3 linked regions of the Struthio camelus genome follow. Each later gene encodes a partner of the first gene's protein in a complex. Links are inferred from orthologs where the notes say so. Each region holds a gene or a part of one and is shown on either strand. Other genes may lie near its edges. The genes, in order: HNRNPU, IGF2BP1 and YBX1.

The links.
Region 2: HNRNPU (region 1) and IGF2BP1 share a complex: the UniProt entries of both Homo sapiens proteins name them as parts of the coding region determinant (CRD)-mediated complex. The link is inferred for Struthio camelus from reciprocal best matches to the Homo sapiens genes HNRNPU and IGF2BP1.
Region 3: HNRNPU (region 1) and YBX1 share a complex: the UniProt entries of both Homo sapiens proteins name them as parts of the coding region determinant (CRD)-mediated complex. The link is inferred for Struthio camelus from reciprocal best matches to the Homo sapiens genes HNRNPU and YBX1.

Annotation. Positions count from the first base shown.
Region 1 is NC_090944.1:99,222,050-99,229,801, reverse strand, and holds the start of HNRNPU (heterogeneous nuclear ribonucleoprotein U), read left to right. Parts: upstream 1-4,709; 5' UTR 4,710-4,925; coding exon 4,926-5,673; intron 5,674-6,685; coding exon 6,686-6,797; intron 6,798-6,925; coding exon 6,926-6,999; intron 7,000-7,752. UniProt on the Homo sapiens protein: DNA- and RNA-binding protein involved in several cellular processes such as nuclear chromatin organization, telomere-length regulation, transcription, mRNA alternative splicing and stability, Xist-mediated transcriptional silencing and mitotic cell progression.
Region 2 is NC_090966.1:5,262,841-5,269,791, reverse strand, and holds the start of IGF2BP1 (insulin-like growth factor 2 mRNA-binding protein 1), read left to right. Parts: upstream 1-3,933; 5' UTR 3,934-4,021; coding exon 4,022-4,196; intron 4,197-5,346; coding exon 5,347-5,407; intron 5,408-6,951. UniProt on the Homo sapiens protein: RNA-binding factor that recruits target transcripts to cytoplasmic protein-RNA complexes (mRNPs). This transcript 'caging' into mRNPs allows mRNA transport and transient storage.
Region 3 is NC_090962.1:12,631,800-12,639,739, forward strand, and holds the start of YBX1 (Y-box-binding protein 1), read right to left. Parts: upstream 3,084-7,940; 5' UTR 2,883-3,083; coding exon 2,726-2,882; intron 2,209-2,725; coding exon 2,145-2,208; intron 1-2,144. UniProt on the Homo sapiens protein: DNA- and RNA-binding protein involved in various processes, such as translational repression, RNA stabilization, mRNA splicing, DNA repair and transcription regulation.

The sequences.
Region 1 (7,752 bases):
AAACAATGCCGGAAATCTGAATTTAAGTCCCTTGAATACTGTTAGCTTTACTTGAAATCGGGCACTAAACATCTTTATGAAATAAGGATTTAGTTCCTCTTCAAGTAGGCCTTACTGCAAATGGCCTTCTTACTTGTGAGGTGGATTAGACCTTACTTGATCTTAAAATATCATGGAGAGGTTGTAGATAGGATAAGGCAAGGCCCAGCTATCTTTACAAACTGACTCTGATAGTAAGCAGTAGTGAATGCCATGGGACAAGCTGTTCAGGGCAAGTAGGCAGAGACTTCCTGAGAAAGACACTCCCAGCCTCCTGGCATTTGTATTTCAGATGTGTACATGTAACGCACACGTGCACATGCATGTGTGTATATCTTTGTATTTATTTGTGTGTACATATATGTGTGTGTATAGTGGGGGGGGGGGAAATGAACAATCATCAAAATTGATCCTTCACCATCAAACATTTGTGATAAATTAGCATTTAAAAATGTCTGGATTTTTTTGACCAGCCCTAATAATGATTAATGAGGATTTCATGAGGAGACTTAGAGAAAAAGACTTACTTCACGTGCTCCCTGCTATCATAAAAGGCAGCCGAGTATTTCAAGAATAATACTCTCTTTTTAAAGTAATGGTATGTTGGATGTCAAACTCTGAAGGCAGTGTTAATTGAGGGTGGAGAGACTGAGGATATACAGAAGAGACCAAGGAGTCTATTGCGATGGTCAGAAGGAAAGTAAAGCACGAGAAGAACAGCCAGAAAAGGATAGACAAGGCTGAAAGAGAGCAAACCTAGGAAAAGATAAATGTTTGTGTCCTTCTGCAACGTTGAAGGTGTAAGAAAAGGTTTAAATAGCTATCTCATCTTCAGGGAATCACTGCTATTTGAGTAGTGTGATATAAACATAGATTTGTCTTTGTGCTTGCGGTAAGAGACAATTCCCTGCAACTTAGAGGTAGTCTGAAGATGCCAGGCCAGTCCTTGCAGCAGTTGGCACAACTGATCTCGACATCCCTCTGAGCTCCTCCCAGGAAGGAATGGGCTCTGTGTTGTGCACCTGCAGAATCAGACAAAAGCCCAGGCAGGATGGGCCCCTGGGACCATCTGGTCCCTCTGTGAAAGCCTGCCCTTCTTGTCACCCCTTGGAAAGACATCCACATCTCCTATCCAGGAGAGAAAAGAACCGTTGCAGGAAAGGAGGCAGCGGTTGGGGAAGGGCTGACCATTCTTGGCACGCAGGAGAGGGGCTTGGAAAGACCAGCAGTGACTAATGGGAAGAACATTAGGGGTGAGAGGCGAAGGTTGGCTAGCTAAAATCTGAAAAAGTATAAATAAAAATTAGAGGGACTACAGTAACTGATTAGAAGGGGAGAGCTGCGGATTGAGAGGATCCCAAATTACTTTTTTTAGGGGAGACTGGTTTGGAGTGAAAGATATTTTAACTTTCTGAAGATGTAACAGAGGTATGAGGAAAATACTGTATGATGGATAAATAAGTACAAAGAAAGCAGACGGGACTACGTGTTGTTTATGGGTAGATGCCACTTTCCAATTAAATGGAGGGTTTTTTGTTTTATTTAAGATTTTGGGGATATTTTGAGACCAAAGAAAGGGTAATTTAAGGCAAGACAATTTGTGGTTATCAGCAATGATGCTAGGTATTTATTATGGCTGTCACTATTGCACAAGTGGTAGCTTTGCAAATTAAAGCTGAAGTGCTTAATTTGAACTTTCATGTTTCAGGAGTTCATATGACTAAATGTTTATTTTTATGATGTGGCTGGTATCTGCGTGATCTATGAAAAGCTGAGTTGAAGGAACTGTTATCTGAATTAAGGAAAGGCACAGCAATGGAGAAAGCATATTCCCTTAACTTCTTCCCCTGCCCCCTTAAAGTAGGAATGGGGAAGAGTCACACCGCTGAACTCAGGACTCAGGGAGGACAAGTGAACTCTTTGTTTTCCCCAAACTGGGGCATTTGTGTAAACAACATGTATTTAACATACACAGCAGAAAACTTAAATTGCTTTTACCATGGAAATCAGTCATAAGGTTGCATGCCTGTTTCAGTTATGTGCGTATTGTATGTGCTTAGTTTTCAGAGAAAAGCCATTCTCACCACAATTAAATCACTTGATATTTAAAAATCAGCTGGGATCTCCCCATTTTATAATAACGGGTAGCAGCACTCTGTAGACCGAAGGCATGGCCTTACTACATTTGTGACTATCTGTTTGATAGTGTAACTAATGGTACTATACAACCATGTACTTACTGCTATGGTATGCATTAATCCCCTAAAACAAAAGTTCAGCCTTCTAAATAGTTTAAAGGGGAGAGGAGCCTTTTCAGGTTGGTGTTAAAAAATTTCTGGGGCAAAAAAATAGTGAGCCTCTATTTTAATGCTCAAAACAAATTACAATTCTTATTTTATGTACTCGAGCCTTTATATACAGGCTTGAGTGCTTTGGGGTAAGTAAGTAATCTCTTGATGTGCCTCAAAGTCGTTAGCTGTTTTGTTTCTCCATGGTAACAGCAGTATAAAGCTGTATGAGCATGTTACTGAAGTAGGCAGACATGACATTGTTTAGGAAGGGGATTACATGTGAGGACTGCAGCTCTAAGATGATTCTGAACAAGGGCAGTTTTTAACACAAGTGCTGTAAATGTGTGCAGATGTGCTAATTCAAGGCAACATTCAAGGATCAAAAAAGGCTGAAAGGATCTAAGCCATAAAGTTTGCGCTGGTAGGATTATTGGACTAGGCTGATGAAGTTCTGCAAACATGGCTCCTCATGTGATGAAGACTGTACCAGATCAAGGTTTAAATGTAGGGCTCTGCCTCAGGTTCAGACGCACTACAAATCGAAAAGACTCAGTGTGTGTTTTGTTTAAAAATTTTAAATTTAAAGTTCACAAAAGAGCATAGAGGTGGGAGAAGCAAAAGACATCTACCTTATTGTAGAGTTGTCTGTAAACTCCAGTAAGTAATCTTGTAATATTAACTAGGTAAGCCCTGTTTACACTTTGTTCCCCTCCATGGGAATATATATCACTGTTACCTCAGCAGACTAGTTTAGATAGCTCTTACATGAAGAAATGCACAAAGGTAATTTATACCAGTGCAGCTTGATCATGCATTGACCTCTCCTTAGTACTGATGCACTTTTTTTAAATCTCCTTTTTTCCCCCTATTTAGATGACTGTGACCTCCTCAACTGAGGAAAATCTACTAACTTGCATTTATATAAGGAAAAGGTTGTGATAACCTTTTTCTAAGCTGTACATATTGCATGAGGGAATTCTTGCTGTCTCTGTTCCAACAAGACTTAGTGCAGTGAAGGGTTGAGCTAACCTTGCAGATTGAGTCGTGTTTCCTCTGAGTGGATTCAGCTTGGCTGGAGAGGACAGAGTGCATGCATGTGCTTAAGGGACTGTTTAACTTTCCTTGTATAGTTAAAAACAGTGCGACTTCCTTGTCTCTCCTCCCTTTTCCTGAAGGCAGGTGAACTTAAATAATTTCTTCTGGTTTAGAAGGCCATGTGACCTGCTCCAGTACAAGGCAACTTCATGTCAGTACACCTTCCCTACAATAGGGCTTTTTAACAATCTTTAGTTGTTCAACTTGCCTCTTTTTAAAATTTCTAAAAGCAAGTGAAAATTAACTTTTTACTAGGGCTTCCTAAGGAACCAGACTTGTCTACTAATGCTAACCTCCTGTTCATCTGCGCTGCTCTCTGCTGTTTCTGCTCCAGTAGCTTTGGACCATATTGGAAAAATTCAGTGGGTGCACAGCTTGGTGGCAGAACAGAGAGGAGACCTACATGAATGCTCTGGAGCAGCAAAGCTGGGAGCAACAGCAGTTTGCTTGCAGTTGGTTACCTGGTCAGCTAGCTCTGCACTAAGCTGCAGACGAGCGTTGCTTGTCTGACGGAGAGTTAACGCACTTGAAAACCTTAAGTTAGCCCTGTGGCTTGTGGAGCCACTCGGTCTAGTTACCGGTCAGGCTGGCGCATGCCGTAGCCTGTGAAGAAATTGCTGTTATAGCTCTACTTTTGTCCTTATGTAACTGTGCTAACAGGGTTGTACCAGTGCGACTATTTTGAGAAGGACTGTTTCCACTTTCAGTTGAAACTGAATTTTCAACCCCTTTTCCGCGCGGCGCAGCGCGCCGGCCGGGCCTGCGGAGGGTGCCCGCAGCGGGGGGGAAGGGGCCGCCGGGGGGGGGGGTCTATCTGGGGCCTTGCTCAGGCCTCATCTTGCACCGAGGGAAGAGCGGAGGCCTGGCGGGGTCCCGCTGGGGCCGGTTTCCCGTCCGGAATGGCGTATTTTGCCGAAAGCGAGCGGGCGGCAGCGGGGCGTCTCGCCGGGCTTCCTGCCGCCGCCTGGCCCAACATGGCGCAGGTACAGCTGTCGGCGCGGAGGGGCTTATGCCGGCAGAGGCAACTTTTCCTTTCCCGTAACTCCGCCGCGTAGACGCGACCAGCCCGGGCTGCCAGGGCCCCTCCTGCCGCCCCGAGCTCGGGTCCGGCTCCGGGTGCCGGCGGGGGCGGCCCCAGCGCACGGCGCCCCGCGCGGGAGAGGCGCCGGGGGGCGCGCAGAGGTGCTGCGCTCGGGCCGGTATTTACGGTAGCGGCGGTGCGTGCGGCGGCCGTTACGGTAGCGGGGGGAGGAGGGCCTACGTGCGCGGGGGCGGGGCGGGCAGTGCTGCGTGCTCGGCCCCGCGAGGCGCGTCTCCCTCGCGAGCTCGGTGAAAGGATTTGGCGCCAGGCGGGTCCGCTCTGCAGCTGCCGCAGCCGCACGAACCAGCCGCGCCACCCACCCACCGCCTCCCACCGGGGCCTCGACCCAGAGCCGCCGCCGCCGTCCGCCCGAGCCCAGAGTCGCCTGCGCGCCGCCCAGGGACCGAGCCGCCGCCGCCATGAGCTGCTCGCCCGTGAACGTGAAGAAGCTGAAGGTGTCGGAGCTGAAGGAGGAGCTGAAAAAGCGGCGCCTCTCCGACAAGGGCCTCAAGGCCGAGCTCATGGAGCGGCTCCAGGCCGCGCTAGACCAGGAGGAGGCCGGCGGGGGAGGCCCCGCCAGCAGCGCAGTTGAGCCTGGCAACGGCAGCATGGAGGGGGAGGCAGCCGAGAGCGGCGGGGGCGCCTCGCAGCTCCACCAAGGAGGAGGCCCCGACCAGGCCGCGGCCTCCACCGCGGAGGACGACGACGAGGAAGGGCTGGAGGCCGCCGATGGCGACGCCATGGAGCTGGGCGAGGAGAACGGCGAGCGGGCGGGGGCCGGGGGCGGCCCCATGGAAGAGGAGGCGGGCGGCGAGGAGGAGGAAGAGGAGGAGGAGGAGGATGAGAACGGAGACGACCAGGGTTTCCAAGAGGGGGAGGACGAGCTCGCCGACGAGGAAGAGGCCGCGGCCGGAGACGCCAACGGGCATGGCGAGCAGCAGCCGCAGCCCCAGCAGCAACAGCAGCAGCAGCAACAGCCCCCGCCGCTCCTCCAGCCGCGCGGGGCCGCCAAGGAAGCGCCCGGCAAAAGCACCGGCGGCGCCTCGGGGCCCCCGGCGGCGGCGGCGGCCCCCGCCGGCTCGGCGGGCCCCGCTAAGCAGCAGCAGCAGCAGAAGAAAGCGGAAGGTGGCGGTGGTGGCGGCCGCCCCGGGGCTCAGGCCGCCGGGGGTGAGTTTGCGCGACGCCTTCGGCGGAAAGGGGGGGGGGGGCGGAGGGGGAAAGAAAGGCCGTTAATCCCCCCCCCCCGCGGCGGGGGGGGCGGGCGGGCGGGCAACGGCCAAGAGGGCGGTTTCCGGGGTGCGCGCGGGAGGGCGTTCGCGGCCGGCGCGACGGCGGCGCCTCCCGCGCCGGGGGGGGGGAGGGGGGGCGGTGTCCCCGAGGGGGTTTCCAGTCTTCCCCCCCCCACACACACACACACCGGCGGCGGCGCCGCCCCCCCCCCCCCCCCGCACCGCGTGCTCCTCGCCAGGCGGCTGCGCTGGGCCGCGGGCGGGGGAGAGGGGTTCTCGAGAGGGGGCCGTTGCGCGGGGCGGCTGGAGGAGGAGGAGGGGCCGTTGCGCGAGGGGGGTGGAGTGGAGGCGCGCGGGGGGTGAGGGGAAGGGGCCGCTGCGCCGGCCGCGCGGGGGGAGGGGCGGCCCCTCCGGAGGGGCCGCTGGGGCGCGCTGTATTGTGCAAAGGAGCGCTCGGCGGCGTGACGTCACTTCCGGTCTGGGTGCTCCACGGGATCGCGTTTGGAAGGCCTGGTACAATGGAGGCGGGAGGAGGCGGAATCCCTTCCCTGCAGGCGGCCGGGCGGCCCCGCGCGGGGGCTCCCGCCCGCCGCGCTCGGCCTGCCGGGAGGCGGCGCACTCGTGCGGAGCGCTCGGCGTCCTTGTGAGCGCCCGGGAGTGTCCTGCTCGGCGCGGGTGAGAGCGCGGGCGCCTTCTTGGCCGTTCTTTTTCACCGCGTGAGAGCGGGATGGCTTTTCTCTGGGCGTCTTCTCTTAACATCGAGGACCGTGCCAGATGCGGAGATGCAAGCTTTTTGTCTTGGAGCAACACAAAAAAGTCTGCCAAGATGCTGTTGCTTTTCAGTTCCTGAGGGTTTTCGTTCAGTTTCCAAAGTTGGAAACGTTATGGATGGTTTTATTCCCAGCAGAGTTACATTGCGTTGCTAAAATAAATTGTTAACTCTGTTACAGGAGATGCTAAAACAGAACAAAAACCTGGTGAGAAAAAGAGGGGTGTGAAGAGACCACGTGAAGATCATGGCCGTGGGTATTTTGAATACATTGAAGAAAATAAGTACAGCAGGTAAAGAAACTTTTGATGCTGGACAAGATTTTGCGAATGAGAAGCTGTAGGAAGTATTTCCTATACCCCTACTAAAATGCTTCCAACTTTAATTTTTTATTCTCTTCTTTTTCCTCCTCCCTCGCCAGGGCTAAGTCCCCTCAACCACCTGTTGAAGAAGAAGATGAGCATTTTGATGACACAGTGGTTTGTCTTGATACTTGTGAGTAAACATGCTTTCCTGCGCTCTAGAAGGTGTAGTGGTATGCTTTTAAACTTAAAACTATGCTTTCTGAAATGTAGGGCAGATCCATTGATCGTTATTACTAAGAAACAGCAAGATTAGCCCTTTACTTTTCAGTATAACGAAACAACAAAAGGATGCCTGGGTCTTTATTAGCAATTATAAGCTTGGCTTTCCCAAGAAATAACGTAATATCATATCGTTTTCTGAAGAAATCTTAACCAAAACACTAACCTGGTACATAAACTAAGCTGTGCAAGCGTGCAGTGAACGTAGATCATGCTAGAAACAGCTTGGGAGCTTGAGTCGTGAGAAACTAATTTTATATCACGTGAATGTTTTACTTCGATAAGTTTCAGGAATAAACAGAGGGCTAAGGTAGTACAGTCTGTGGGGTAAGTTTCCTGCATAACTTGCTGAGGCCCTAGTTACATGCAAACTAATGCAGTATATTTTTTGATTTCTAATAAACTTGAGAAGAAATCAGCAGAAAGCTCCTGGAAAATGCTGCATTCATGCAGTCTGCGAGGTTGGGGGGGGTAGATGGTATATGCAAATGGCATGGCAGAGAGAACTGGTCCAAAGGGCATAGAAATTGAGAACTACATACAAACTGTTTTTTGAAGCAGATTATAAATGTTACTATTATTGTGGTACAGCATGATTTGGACTAACTTATCTTTGAGGGTAAGTATAAGCAGTTACTGCAGAATTACTGCACTTGAATAGGCA
Region 2 (6,951 bases), on another chromosome or scaffold:
CGCCAACTTTTAGCAGCACAGCCAAAGGATTCTCCAAGATGCGAGTTGATTTTTTTAAGCCGGGGTTCATCGGAGTATTTGCTTTGTTTGTAACTGAAGCACTAAAATGTTTAGGAAATATCCAAACGTCGAAGAAAGTTGCAGGTTTAACCGTTTGCAACGTCAGCTCTGCTGCTCTTGAGCCTCGCGCCCGGTGCTGGCAGAGGCGCCCCGGCCGGGAGCAGAGGGGCATTTCGCAGCCCGCCCGCAGCGCCTCGCTGGCGCGGCCGCTGCCCCGTCCTCCTCCGCCTCGACCAAGCCGCAGGCAGAAGCAAAAACCGCCCTGCAAGCGCGCAGGGAATCCGGGGATTGTCCCAAATCCAGCGCAATGCTGAATTTTGTTTCGAAGCAAACTGTTAATTTCCCAATCAGTTTGATTCTTAACAAATTTGGCAGCACAGCCTGGAATCGGCGGGACCTTCTCGGACGGGAGCTTCTTTTTTCCAGTGGTGAATGTTTTCCACATAATAAAAAGGGAACAAAAAGGGGTTTAAACTGTGATTCCACTTCACTAAGAGGAAATATTTCCCCACTGCATTGCTCGCTCTTCTTATTCTGTTGAATTCTCACCTGTGTTTTATGCTCAGGCTTGCTCTGAGCTCAGATGATTTCTGCTAGCTGAGAGCTAATTGAAACAGATTCTGCAAACATTAAATTCTTATTTTTTTGCTGTATGACCTATGTATTTTACCGAAAACTTTCAGCACACGTTTATTTGATAGTAATCAACAGATACTTTCAAACTCTTGAAACTGAAGAATTTCCAGAGTTTCTGGGGTTTTTAAATACACCTTTAATTTTCTTAAAATTAAACATAAGTGACAGCACTAGAGATTAAAAAAAAAAACAAATTAAAGAAAGATTCAAATGACAACTGGCAGAAAAATTACAGATTATAATCTGTTCTAGTTTACCACTAATCTGTCATAAAGATTATTTCTGTTTTAGGTATTTTCTGAGTCAGAGCACCAGCAGCACTTGAGCAGACGGCAGGAATTTCGCCCCTTTGTACGAAGCCCACGTTTCATTAAAACCTCAAACGCGCTGCTCGCCCCTCCCGTTCAACTTTGTACTCCAACCAATTTTTCTGAGCACCCACGCGGCAACAATCGCTTTTCTGAGTTGTGGAGAAATTGTCAGTTCTCTGTGAGCGCTTTCCTACCTGCTTCAGGGATTTATATCTAAGGGAAAAAACAACCAACCAACCTTTTGCCAAAATCAGATCTTACGTCTAAAGTCAGGAATAAATTTATGCCGACGCCGGAGCGGGACACCGTTTGTAAGCCCACGCGAAGCGGCCAGCCGCTCGGAGCGATTTCGCCAAGAAATTTAAGGAAATCCTGGGGAAGGGAGAAGGCCACGCAGGCTCCCCGAGCTGACAGCATCCCGGGGGAAACTGCAGCTTAGCAGCGCCCGGGCTGCAGCGCTCCTGACCGGTTGGGGCTCGGCAGCTGCTGCCGAGCCTGACGTCTGCAGGAGCAGCGCGGTCGCCCTTGCGGGGGGCTCGGCGAGCCCCAGCTGCCGGGGGCGGGGGGCCCGGCCGGGCAGCCCCCTCCCACCCTGCCCCAGCCGTGAACGGGGTTGGGGGGGGGCAGCAAATCAATGATGGAGCCTCTGCTGTTTGCATTCCCTAAATACCTTGCATCTGGAACGCTCCACCGAGGGGAAGGAGCTTGACTGATAGTCTTTCTTGTTTCAGACCTAAATTGAAGACTTCCCTCTTTGTTTGGTGCTTTTTTTTTTTTTTAAGGCTGGTTTCCTTGATTTCATTATTGCAAAGGGTTATGTTACACGGGCAAGGTGCTCGGTTAACCAATAAACAGCGGCAACAGCAGTATTAGGGTCAAGATTAGAAACAGAGGCGAGGCAGATAGGGGCTCATTTATTTTGACTTGTTTGCCCGCGACGCGCAGCGCGGTGGAAGCCCGTGAACGTCCCAGGTTTCAGCCCGCGAGGGTGCGAAGCGCGCTGTCTGAGCTGCAGGAGATTTATTTCCAAATTGCATCGCTCTCTCCTTTTCGTCTGTGACTTTTGAGCGTGGGTGACACGCCGGAAGCCTTAGAAACCTGCCCGTGGACACAGAAAGCCTCCTCTGGCTGCGCCGGTTTGGTACTTCTAGGAGAGCCAAATAACGCAGCTGGAAGGATGGAAACCAGACTTGCCCTGGTGAGCAGCATCCACACGCTGCAGGAGCAGCGTAGCAGAGAGCGGTTCAGAGCCGGGAGGGAAAGCGGACTGCTCCGGGCTTTAAATGAGCGTTTGGCAGAGGGGTTTTTTTTTTTTTTGCCGTTCGCGTGAACGAGACGCCCGGGGGGGCTGCAGCGCAGGCGGGCGTCCGGGGCTACGCGCGCCTGCTTCCTCGGACCCGCGCAACTCGCCCATTTCTGAGCGACCTCGGCTTTATTTACTAACAAACCCTCCACGCAGCTGAGCAAGGGGCGGGGGGCGGGGGGGGGGAAGAAAGAAAAAAAAAATCGAAAATAAAAAAAAATATCGGAGACGTAACCGGGCGCCCCGCGGAGGGGGGAAGGGAGCGCGGCAGCGCCGCTGCCCCCCCGCGCCGGGCGCGCCCTCCGCGGGGCTCTCCCGGCGCCGGAACAGCGCGCACGCCTTGCGGGAATTTTAATATATAGATATATATTTTTTTGGGGGGGGGGTGGTGCCCCCCGTCTGGGCCGCCCAGCACGTGGGAGCGAGCTGCCTTGCTGCGCGTTTTCATCGGGAGCGCGGAAAGGCCGGACGGAGCCTCCGCGGCGGCGGCGGGGGGAGCCGGGGCCGCCCCTGCCCGCCGCCGCGCTGCCGAGCCGCCCGCCCCGTCGGGGGGAAGGCAGGAAGGAGGCTGGGGGCGGAGGACGGTAGCGGGGGGGATGGGGAGGGAGGGGGGGGGGCTCGCTGCTATTTTCAACCCATCTCGAGCCTAAAAATAAAAAGTCTCCAGAAAAGGCTAGGCGGGGAGGGAAGGGGGGGGGCTGCCCCGCACACGCCGCTTTGCCGTCGGGGAAAGGCCCTGCCCCAGCGCGGGGCCCTTTTGTGCCGGGAGGAGCCATCCCCCCCCCCCTCCTTCCCCGCAGCCCGGGGGCTTCCGCGGGGCCGCGCACCAAGCGCTTAAAACAATGCCGGGGCCCATCCTCCCGCCGGGGGCGCGCAGCCCCGGGGGGGCGGCCCGCCCCCCCCCCCAGCCCTGGCGCCAGGGGACCCTCGCGGCCCCTTTGATACTGAAGTTGTTTTTTTTTTTTTTTTTTTTACACCCAGAAAAATCCCATTGAGGCACCGGGGGCCGGCGTGGGGGGGGGAGGGGCGCCGGGGGGGAGGGGCGCGGTGGGGGCGGGGGGCTGCAGCAGCAGATGGCAAAAGTGCCTCCGACGGGACGGCGCTGGGGAGGGGTGCGGGGTGGGTGCGCACCCCTCCCCGCAGGGTGGTGGTGGGGGGGGTGGAGGTAAATACCGTAGTATTTAAATTAAAATAAATAAATAAGTGGCGGCGGCTGGGCCCCCTCCCCCCCGGCCCCTCCCCCCGGGGGCCGGGCCCTCCCGCATCACCACGTGGCTTCCTCCAGCAAACATTTTCACTCATTTTCCAGGTCGGTTTTATTTAGAGGCGGTGCCCGGCTGCCGAGAGGCGTCCGGTGACACTCGAGTGCCACTCGGCCGACTTGGGGGCCCCCGGAGCCGGCGCCGCCGCCCGTCGGAGCAGCGCGCCCCGCCGCCGCGCCCCCCACCTCCCCCCGGCTTGCTTTCCTTTCCCCCCCCCCCCCCCCCCGCACCGGGAAATAATCCCCCCTGGATTATTAACCAAAAAAAAAAAAAAAAAAGAGGGAGAGAGGGGGAGGGAAACCCCCCCCCCCCCGCAGCCCCGAAGGCGCCCGGCGGCGGGGCGGCAGCGCGCGGCCGGAGCCCGACGGCGCGGGCGCTCGGTGGAGGCGCCCGGCGAGGCGCGCTGCGAGCCCGGCCGCCCCCCCCCCCCGCCGCCGCCCCCCGCCACCATGAACAAGCTCTACATCGGCAACCTCAACGAGAGCGTCACCGCCGCCGACTTGGAGAAAGTCTTCAACGAGCACAAGATCTCCTTCAGCGGGCAGTTCCTGGTCAAGTCCGGCTATGCCTTTGTGGACTGCCCCGACGAGCAGTGGGCCATGAAAGCCATCGAAACTTTTTCGGGTAAGCGGCCTCGCCCCCCTCCCCTCTCTCCCCTTTCCCCCCCCCCCCACCCGCTTGCTGCCCCCCTTCCCCGACCCCGCATCCTGCCGCCGGGCAGCCCCTTGTTCCCCCTCCCCCCGACGGCGCTTGCATCAGCGCGGGGGCCCCCGCAGGCTGGGGAGGGGGGGGGGCGACCCCCTTTTCTCCACCCAAAAGCAGCTAGCGGAAGGGTGAAACGAGGCGGGGGCCTCTCCCTGCCCACCCCCCCCCCACACACACCCACCCCGGCCGGGCCCCCGTGGGCGCCCCCGGGCCGGGCGCGGCGGCGGCGGCGGCAGCGCGGCGCCCGCCCCGCCGGGGCTCGGCCCGGGGGTCCCGGCGGCAGCGCGGGCGGTGGGCTGGGACTTTGGCCATTTTGATTTGAAACTGCCTTGGCTGGGGCATGTGATGCGCGGAGTAGCGCGAAGGTCGCCATGCTGCTCGCACGGAGAGAAAAAGCTCCCGGGGAAGCAGCTCGGCTCTTTATTATTATTATCATTATTTTTATTTTTTTTGAAATTTCGATTTTTTCTTCCTCCTTTTTTTCTTTCCCCCCCCTCCCCCCGCCCAGCTCTCCCGCCGAGCTCTTCCCATACCCGAGCCCCTCTCCCCAACCCCCCCTCCCTCCCCCGCCCCAAATAAACCAGCCGCAAAGAAACCACCCCGTTTTTCAAAAGCGAGAGATCCGTTTCTGCCGTGAACGACTCGGAGCCTTTGGGTGGGGAGGGGAGAAGGGGAAAGGGGGGGGGGAAGGAAAAAAAACCCCAAACACCCCTAAAACGAGGAATTCCGCGGGAATTCAACACGAGGCTTTGAATAAAGGCGAAGAAATCCCTCTCCGAATATCCCTCTCCGTTTTCTCCCGCGCGGAGCGGAGCGGAGCGGTGGGAAGGGGGCAACGGGGTGTCCAGGCGGCCGCTGGCCGCCCCCTCCCGCCGGGCTCCCGCCCCATACAACGCGCCCGCGGGGCAGCCGGCGGCCGTGTTTGCGTGTAGATCCCCGTAAATTCGGAATGAAAACGAAAGGTTTCACGTGGTAGCATGTTCTCCAGGGCTTTTATTTGTTGCCCCCCCCCATTGTAAAAAAAAAAAAAAAGAAAAGAAAAAAAAACCCAGACACATTTTGTTTTTAGGGAAAGTGGAGCTTCATGGAAAGCAGCTAGAGATTGAACATTCAGTGCCTAAAAAGCAAAGGTAATACAGCGTTTTATTTTCTTTTGTTAATTTTTTTTTCTTTGCTGTTGGGGAGGGGGGAAAGGAGAAAAAAAAAAAAAAGGCCGTAAGATAAAGGAGACAAAAAAAAATATCCCCAAATATGTGCATGTGAAAGGAGATATGTTGGCGATTTGGCTCCCGATCCGTCCTCTGCGAGGTGGGAGTCAGCGTGCAGGATCAATGTTGAAATTTCCTTCCTTTTTTTTCTTTTTTTTTTTTTTTTGAAGTTAACTCTGAGAGCAAGTTTAAACCCTAGCCGAAACAATGACCCCGCCGCTCGCTCGCCCAAGCTCGGGCACGGCCGAGGCGGTTTTGGGGTCTGGGTTTGCAAACTTGTGCAGCCGGGCGCGTTTCCGCAGCTTGCCCCTCTCCTTCGCTGGGAAGCGCCTGCCTTTTGTTTTCCGCTTTAGTTTAAAAAAAAAAAAAATTAAAAAAAAGAAGAAAGGCCAGGGGGAAACGTGCTGGTGGGACTGGCGAGGCCGGGCGAGGCGGGGGGCCCGGGCTGGGCCCAGCTCCGCGCAGCCCCTCGCCTCTGCCCCGGGCTCACGTGCCCGGCCTGGGCCTCCGGCCTCGCCGCGCTCTTGGCCCTTTGTTGTGTGCTTGGGGGGGGGGGCTGCCAGCCGTTTTGGGGCAGGAATGCTGAAAAAGAGAAATAAAGAATAAATCCCCCCTCCTTTTTTTTTATTTGGGGGGGGGAGGGGAGTACCCCCAACCGAACGCCCCGCGCCAGGGAGCAGGCGAGCGGCTGGCCCAGCCGACTCGTCCACGTTGGATGGCGCGGGCCCCGGGACCCCCGGGTCCACGTGACGAGGCGCTTACCTCAGCGGCGGGGCCGGCAGGGAGGAGGCCGAGCCCAGCAAACTCCTTCTCCCTCAACTCTTTGCTGCTTCCCTCCGATTGACCAAAAAAAAAAAAATTTATATATATAAATATATATATATATATATATATATCCCCCGGCGTGATCACGGGGGAGTCCATTTTCCTGGTGCGGGCTGGGCCTTGCCGCGGCTGCCGCCAGGCCTTGGCCTTCACAACTTTGCCCCAAACCCTCCCTCGGAGCTGGGGGTCAGGGAGGGGGAAAGGTTTTGGGAGGGGGGGGGAGGCTAAAAGCCCCTCGGCCTCCAACCCCGGGGTCCGGCTCGTTTAACTCGAAGCCCCAACTCCATCCCGTAATTTTGCCTCTGGAAAGATTTGGGAGCGACGGGACCTGCCTGGCGCCGAGCTGATCGATATTGCTCCTTACGGCGGCCGACACCTCGCCGTGGCTTAAATATCCCGGAGCGGAGCGGTGTTGTGGGAAAGGCGGTGACGGCGCGGAGGGGACGGGGGTGACGCTGGGCCAAGGGGGCCTCACCGTTCCCCCCCTCCCCGTAGCCTGGCTCCATGATCGATAGCTTGGGCCGAAGGGAGCGGATTTCACCGTCTTGCCTGCTCCGCTCTGCCCTGCCCTGACTTTTCTCCCCCTGCGTTATTAGGAAATTATCTCGAAATGTAAATATTTCTTTGGAGGCTGCAGTTCC
Region 3 (7,940 bases), on another chromosome or scaffold:
AAAGTTGACAGATGCTCAGAATTTAAACTAACATTTCAGAATAGAAACGCGCTTCTAACATTAAAAGACAACAGGAAATATTTGAAGCTAATATGCACCCCTATCCAAGCTGAACTTATCTGCAAGCAGACCCAGTTGAGGCAAAGACAAGCAAGATCAGGAGCTCTTGCAATGTCTTCCTTAAAGCAAGCCAGAGAGATTCCTGAGCTGTGGAAATGTCCTCAAGTTCAATTCTCAGACTGCAGCTCTAATCTCTCGATAACATGAGATCATGCTGGGTTTCTCATTAAAATGGCAACCTCAGGGATCAAACAGCTGCCAAATTAATATGAGTGGGAAAACTATTCAGATGTCTTAACTACCTGCTGTTACTTCCTTGCTTGACTCACATAACTGAGCATTTCCACCACTGAGTGGAACAGGAAAAAAGTCTTCCCTAGAGGTAGAGTTTGTGCCCTTTGACTTTATAGCCAGTTACAAACGTCACAGATGCTAAAGCTCGTAATACTGACAACTGTTCAATACTTAACATTCAAACTACACATGAAGAATGCATTTAACTTAAACTGGGCAGACTCAGAGTCAAGTTTTTAAAGTTACAGACACAAAACCAAGTAAGGAGCTTGGTAGATACTTAAGACTGGGTCACAAAGTAACACAGAGAGCTAAAAGGGCAATACTTAAAGCAAATCTAAATAAAAAACCCAATAAAATCCCCAATACCTTTGCTTGCATCCCCGAGTAAAGATTTCCAAGTCTTTTGCCAATTTCTGAAACATTTGTTTTGAGGGCTCACAGCTCTAATTACATCTTTCAACTTGTTTCAGTCTTAACTTGCTAGAGCTTACATGCAACGCTTATTCTCATTCGAGAGCCCTCTGTTTAGAAAGGCAAAAACAACCTATAGGAGGAACTACAGGTATCTTGTGGCTTACCCCATTAATTAAGTTTCTAATAGATGCTTCGCTCCAAAGGAAGGAAGTGGTATTAGGTGTTTAAGGACAATAGTTTTTAATATTATGGCCTCCAAAAAATAAACCGCACTGAAGCACTCCAGACTGGTAGAAGAACATTACATTTTTCCAGAACTGATTTGTAGAGCAATTCTAGCACACCTCTGCCAAGTCATCACTAGACAGCTCACTGCTATGTTAAGAGTTCAGGTAAACACCTCAAACTAAGCACTGAAATTCTCAAGTCAATCGCTGAATCTTTTAGGCATCTTTTTTTTTTTTTTTGAGAATTTCTTACATGCTCTAGTTTCATGATATAAGGAATGAGTTTTACACATTTCCCCAGGCATTCAGAGTTCCCTCAAGAGAGCAACTACCTAGTGTCTCAAACAATTGCTTGCATTGATGTTACTGAACTCTATACAGAAGCTAAAGAAATATTTTGTGCACATCAGTTGATTTTTATACTCTAATAGAAAAAAGGAAAAAAAAACACACATACACTTAATATAAGAGGTAGCACTACGAAAACAAATCCACTACATCCCTTTTGGTAAGAGCCTCGCTGAAGTGCTTTTAAAAAAAAAAAAAAGAACAAAACAAACACACAGTAAGGGTGAATGATCATGCAACAGAGGTAGGACACACCTTATCAGTTGCTCCTGGAAAGTGTCACCAAGCAGGCACTAGAAGTGATAAAGGTGTTTATCTGCAGCCCCTGGTGTTATACGAGCCTAGTGCCCCAGCGTAAAACAACCAGATATGAACCACGCGCAGCACGCACGTGTTACTCAGAAGTACACTTGATCTTGGGTCCAACGTCTGCTTGGCCCAGAGGGCAAGTCAAAGCAACGCTCATTGAAGAAAAAAATAGCACTAGTAATAAAAACAAAAAAAAAGCCCTCTCTCCACACACTCCAGCAAGAAACCCTGCTGCCCTCCTAGGACTTCTCAGGGGTGCTGGTGGGGGCAAGGGGAGCTCTTGTTAGAGTTCCCCCCCCCGCCCCGCCGCGCTAAACACCTAGGAAGGAACGCCAGAACAAACTGGGCGCGTGCTCGGGGCGGGGAGCGGGGACAGGAGAGCCGTTTCCCAGAGCAAGAACTCCCTCAGAGGGGAACAAAACTCCAAGCAAGCTGCCGAGCCCGGCGGCCTCAAGGAGAACCCCCCCTCCCCACCAAAACCCGCCTCACCTGTTGATGAAGCCGTAACCGTTCCTTACGTTGAACCATTTCACTGTTCCCAAAACCTTCGTTGCTGCGAGAAGAGGCAGAGAGAAAGAGCCGTAAGCTGCGGGTAGGCCCGGCGCGGCGGCCTCGCTTGGTTTCCCCCCCCCGCCCTTCACTACCCTCATCATCACCTCCCTCCCGCCCCCCCCCCCATCCGCTCGGCCCGCTGGAGCCGAACCGAGAGGAGCGGAGCGGGCAGGCCCGGCCCGGCCCGGCGCTGCCGGCGGCACGTGGCGGGGCGGGTCTCACACAAAGGGCCCCGCGTGGCGGACATTTTGAGTCGCTCCGCGCCCGCTCCGCCCCTCCCCTCCCGCCCCCACCCGCCGCCGCCGCCGCCACGCGGGGCCCGGCGGCGCGCGCGGGAGGGGAGGGGGGGGGGGCGCCCAACGGCCGCGCGCGAGGCGCCCAACGGCCGCGCCCGCGCGCGCGCGCGCAGGGGCTCGCGCCGCCCTGAGGGGGGAGAAGGTGGGGGAGGGGAAGGGGGGGGCCGCGCCGCGCCGCCCAGGCCCTCCCTCCCCACCGCCGCCGCGGACCCCTCCCCTCACCGATGACCTTCTTGTCCCCGCCGGCGGGAGGCGCCGCCGAGGCCAGGCCGCTGGCCCCGTTCCCGGTGCCGCCGTTAGGTTTGGAGTCGGCGGGGGCGGCGGGGGCCGCCGCGGGGACGGGGGCGGCGGGCGGCTGGGTCTCGGCCTCGCTGCTCATGGCGGCGGCTGTTCGGTGCGGACGGTGGTGGTGACTAGCTGTTTGCGCCGCCTCCCGCGGTGTGATGGTGACTGAGGCCGGCCGTTGGGGGGGGGGGGGGGCTGCTCCCTGCTCCGGGCTCGCTGAGCTCCGCTCTCCGCTCCCGATACCGATCGAACTGACCACAATGGCGGCCCGCACCGGCTAGCCACTCCGCACGCCCCGCCCCCCAGCGCGGCCATTCGCCGAGCGGCCTGCCCGTTCGGCAGCGCGCGAGCTCATTGGCCTTCTCCCCTCCACCCCGCGGCCGGCGCTAAAGCTCCTATTGGGGGAAGCACCTGCCCTTTACCAAAGCCGCAAGCCCATTGGCTGCTCTGGCTCGGAGCTGCCAGGCTCCTTTTTCTTGCCAGCCCCCTGGCGGGACCCGCCCCCGCAAGCGGATTGGTCAGCTCCGCCGTTGCTCCCGCCCCTCTCCCCCGGCCAGGCCGGGGAAGTGCCCGAGACCACGTGGCCGCGGGCGCCTCCCGCCGCCGCCGCCGCCGCCGCCGCCGCCGCCGCCGCGCCCCCTGCCCGGACCGGCACCGGGACCCGGACCCGGACCCCGTCCGCTGTCCCCGGTGCCGGTCCCGGTCGGTGCCCGTCGCCCCCGGTCCCAGACCCGGGATGTCACCGGACCGTGCTCCAAAGGACGCACCGGTGGCATTTCGCCTCGCTTGAAAAATGTGGGACAAAGTGAGCGGACGTGCTGCCCCCGCCTGCCGCCCTGTTACAAGAGCGAGATGCAATCCCAGCTTTTCCCCCGAGGCAGGCAGCTCCCATTAAAAAAATAATCATCGTCGTCGTCGTCTCAAGAAACAAGCCTGCGAGTGTTAATTAAAAGTAGAAAATAATGGATCTGGAGACACGACAAAGCTTTTTTCAATATATAATTATATGCAGTTAAAGCGTTATAATCCAACCTCCTGAGAAATAGCGTGCTCCCAGGGACCGCCGCGCTGCCGGATAACGAACTGCGAAAGCGCCGCGGTCGGCGTTCGAAGCGACGCCGTGGACCCGGTCTCGAGCCCCGCGGCGGGAAGGCGGCGGGCAGCGGTCGGCAGCTCTTCGCCGGCTCCCGCGGCGAGGAGGGGGGAAACGGGCCCGGCGTCGCCCGCCGAAAGGCGGGAGCTGCCCGACGCACCCTTCAAACCTGGTCGTGCATCAGCTCGCCCCCACCAAAGTCTCCTCGCCGGGCAGGGACTGCGGAAAGCGTCGGCGTGGGGTGTTTTATCTTCACGGAGCCTTGCTCAAATGACCATGTTTTGTCTCCATCCCTAATCTTTGCCTTCCAGCGGCTCAGAGCGATCCCAGAAAGCACCCGTTGGACTCTCCAAAAGGAAGGTGCAGGGAAAACGAGCCTCCTCGTGCGCCGAGCATCCCCCCGGCACCAACCCTTCAGCATCGGCTTTCCCCATCCCAGGGCCAAAAGGACGAGCCGGGGGCCGCGGCCGCCGACGCTGCGCCACAGCCGCCTGCGGGGCTCGGGTAAGGTAGCGCTTAGCGATGCCGATCTCCCGCGGAGACGTTACCCTGAAGGGAGGATTAATTCTCTGCTTGGCCACGTGGCAGCTTCGCCCTCGCTGAGCCCCACAGCCTTCGCCTCTCGAGGATTCAGCGAAGAGCCTGCTCGACCTGAAACGTCCGACGGGCGGACCTGGAGCCCGCGACTGCTCCCGCTGGTTCAGGCTGCCCTGCATGGCCGGCAATCTTCCATAGACAACGTGAGCGAGGCAGGGAGGGCACCTCAGTGCATACGTACCACAAACCTGGGTAATTAGAGGCCGGTCTGACGGCAATTCCCAGGCAAAATAAAGGGACGGCTGATACAGGCCTTGATTAACGGACGATTTGCAGAGAGCACTATAATTGCCGCCAGCCGATGGGGGTTTACGGACATAGATCTCATCAGACCAACTTGGTATCTTCTCCGTGAGATCTCCAGCTCTGCCAAGGCAGGGAAGAGCGTTAAGAGCACTTCTGCAGGGCATTTGCCTCAGTGTCACGACCCTGATTAAGAAACTAGAAAGATATCAAAGCAGGATGATGCTTAGTAATTCAATTAAAAAACATGTCTTAAAACGTAATGGCAAATGGGAGTCCACCAGGCAAGAGACCCTACAAGGACTCTTATTTAGTTAGTTATTTATCAGTTTTATCAAAGATTGGGAAGATGTTTTCAAATCCCGATGATAAAGCCTGCAAGGATGCAAGGGCCTTGCACCTACAGAAGAAAACGTGGCCTTCCCAATGGCTAGTGACTTTACTCCAGGACACGGCAGTCTTTGGGGGGGCAACACTGCAGGACCGAGAAGTTAATCTGATCCTCAGATGAGTAAAGAACCGGACTGCTCTGTGGACTGCTCTGTCCACAGTTCAAGGAAGATGCTGGAGCTCAGAGAGAGAAGAGTGATCACAAGATGGAAACATCTGCTCTACAGCGAGAGATTCCAGGATTTGCTTAGCATGACATGGCTGAAGGGCAACTTTGTCACTGGGAATTAAACCTGAAACGGCGGTATTTGAGAGCGCTTTCAACCTGCAGATAAGGAACAGCAAGATCCATAGGCTGGAAAGCTGAAGCTCGACACGTTGAGTCACAGACAGACATGCATTGTAAACAGGGGATATAATTAACCACTGGAACAACTTCCAAAGAGGTTGCGATGGATTTGCCACTGCTGGATATTAATTTGGGGAAGTCCTGTGACCAGCGCTATGCGGGAAGTGAGACTAGCTGATCACAGCGATATAAATACATCAGGCTGTGAAAGCACTGCTGAGCCTGGACCCAGAAATAGGCTGGTTTCCCTGGTGAAAAAGCACGGTGAATTTGAGTATCCACAGCCAGAACTGCGACCCTCCGCACTGCAGCTGGCGAAAAGAGCTCCCTGAGCAGCCTGGAGCTAAGCTCGTGCCTCAACCCCATGGGGAAGGGGTGTTTGAACACGTTCCCTGAGCAGGAACAACGGGTAAGTTTATGTCTTTTCAGCCACCACTACCTCATAGCTATTATCTGGGCCCAGTCTTCTCCTCCGTGTGGGGAATTTCAAACCCTCAACTCATAGGATAGAGCCCTAAGCCGTTTGTTTGGGCCTGGGGAGGAAAGGGATGGCACGCTTTATGTTTCCTTCATCCCCTGATGTACCACAGGAAGGAGAAGGTGAGATGACTCGGGCTGGGGAGGAGGGAGGGCAAACGTCCTCTGCAGCCAAGCAATCCCAGGAATTGGGACATGGAAATCCTGACAGCCAGAGCCTGCTCCAAAGACTTTAAATAGCCAGGAGATAAAAAGAGCACGCCAAAGCTTGCCTGCAGGATCTGTCCTCCGGTACATTACTGCCTGCTATCTAATACACCCAAGCAACGCACAAGCCAAGTGTGCAGACTGCTCCTTCCCGCACAATACACCTTAGGCAAAGGCCATAAAGCAGACTGCTGCCCAAGGAGTGACGAGGCAAATCAGGATGGGCTGGAGCCGTTGCACGTGACAAAAGAGACTTTGTCCAAGCTCCTTTATATTTAATCCGCCAGATGAGAAAACTCACCTCGAAGCTCATCCCGCAGCAGGGAGATGAGCTTGCAACCCTGGTCTCCGAGAGGAGGAAGGCAGTTTTCCCACCAGCCTGCAGCCCTGCCACCAAGGGGAACAAGGAGCCCAGATTTCTCCGCCTGCTGCATAATCACTCCCCAGATCCCAGCCCAAAGACCTGTTGTGCTCCCCGCTAAAAGACATGCCCTAAAACATATCATCCCCACAGCCTAGCACTGAGATATGCTGGGGAGGTTTTACAAATGCTTGTTTACAACATAACTCACCTCTGGCTTTCTATACCGCTACAGAGCCCAGCAAGCTCGTGCTGCTGAAGCCTTTGCGCCATACCTATTTCTCGTGCTTCGAGAAGGCTGAATGCAAAAGGTCTCTAAGATTGCTGGGATACCACGAACCTCTCTGCCAGGCAGCCTTATTTACCTGGTGGGAAAAGAGCTGGTGTAGCACAGCTCTGCCATGCTCCTTTCACCCCTTCAGACCCCTTTCTTCCCATTTCGTGAACGCCCAGCAGCAACGCCCCTCAATGCCACACACGAGAAACGTCCCCTACTGAACTGAACAGAGATAACGCACGTGGCTAAAGAAGCTATAAGCCCTGCTAGCCAGAAGAGTCCATTCCCAAGCACGTTAACTGACTTGTGCTGCACACGTTTACCAAAATGCTTTATTTACATTTCAACGTATAAAAAACAAAAAGGAAACATGATAGATGCCAATTATTAAATAATTTCAGGAGAACGTCAAGAACGCGGGTCTAGCCTGCAGAGAAGACTGGGGCAGCGGGGGACTGGAACTGCTCAGAGCCGGCACAGGCCTCACCACCAGCAAAGGAGCACTGAAATAAAGCAGAACAAACAGCTCTGAAATGCTAGATAGCCGTCCCTAAGTCATCCTACAAGCAGCGCGACTGTGCAGCGACACTGGGTACCGCTCCAAGTGAGTACTACTTGCTGCATGTAGTAGCTCACGTCAAACTTGCCCATGTGACCTAGGGTACCCAGAAGTCTTCCTGACATCTGCATCTACCTTGGGGCTTATAACCAACAGCGCCTGTTTCTCCCTGCTGCTTTTAAAGGAGCTTGACAAGTAGCTGATTTAGCTGTCTGAAGCAGGTGAGAGGCAGCAGGGTGCAGAAAGGCAGGTCCCAAGACCTGGCTAGAAAACAAGCGAGGTGGCACCAGCCCTCAGACCTAGAAATGAAGTAGATTTTTCAGTTGCAAGTTGGCGATCAGCCAGAGGTCACATACAGGACCACCGAATAGAAATGATCAACAGGTTTGGGCCAGGGGACCACCCTACGGGAGACTCTACCCCGCAGCACAGGTCTACCCATCTGCAAGGGCATCTGTTACTAATGTTGTTCCCATCTTCAGAAGCATATAGATGCCACAAAAGTCAACAGGAAAATGGAGGAATGGTTATATTCCCTATTGTCACTTCATCAAATAGAAGGAGCTCCCAAGTATCTGATGCGCAGCAGATCTGAAAGC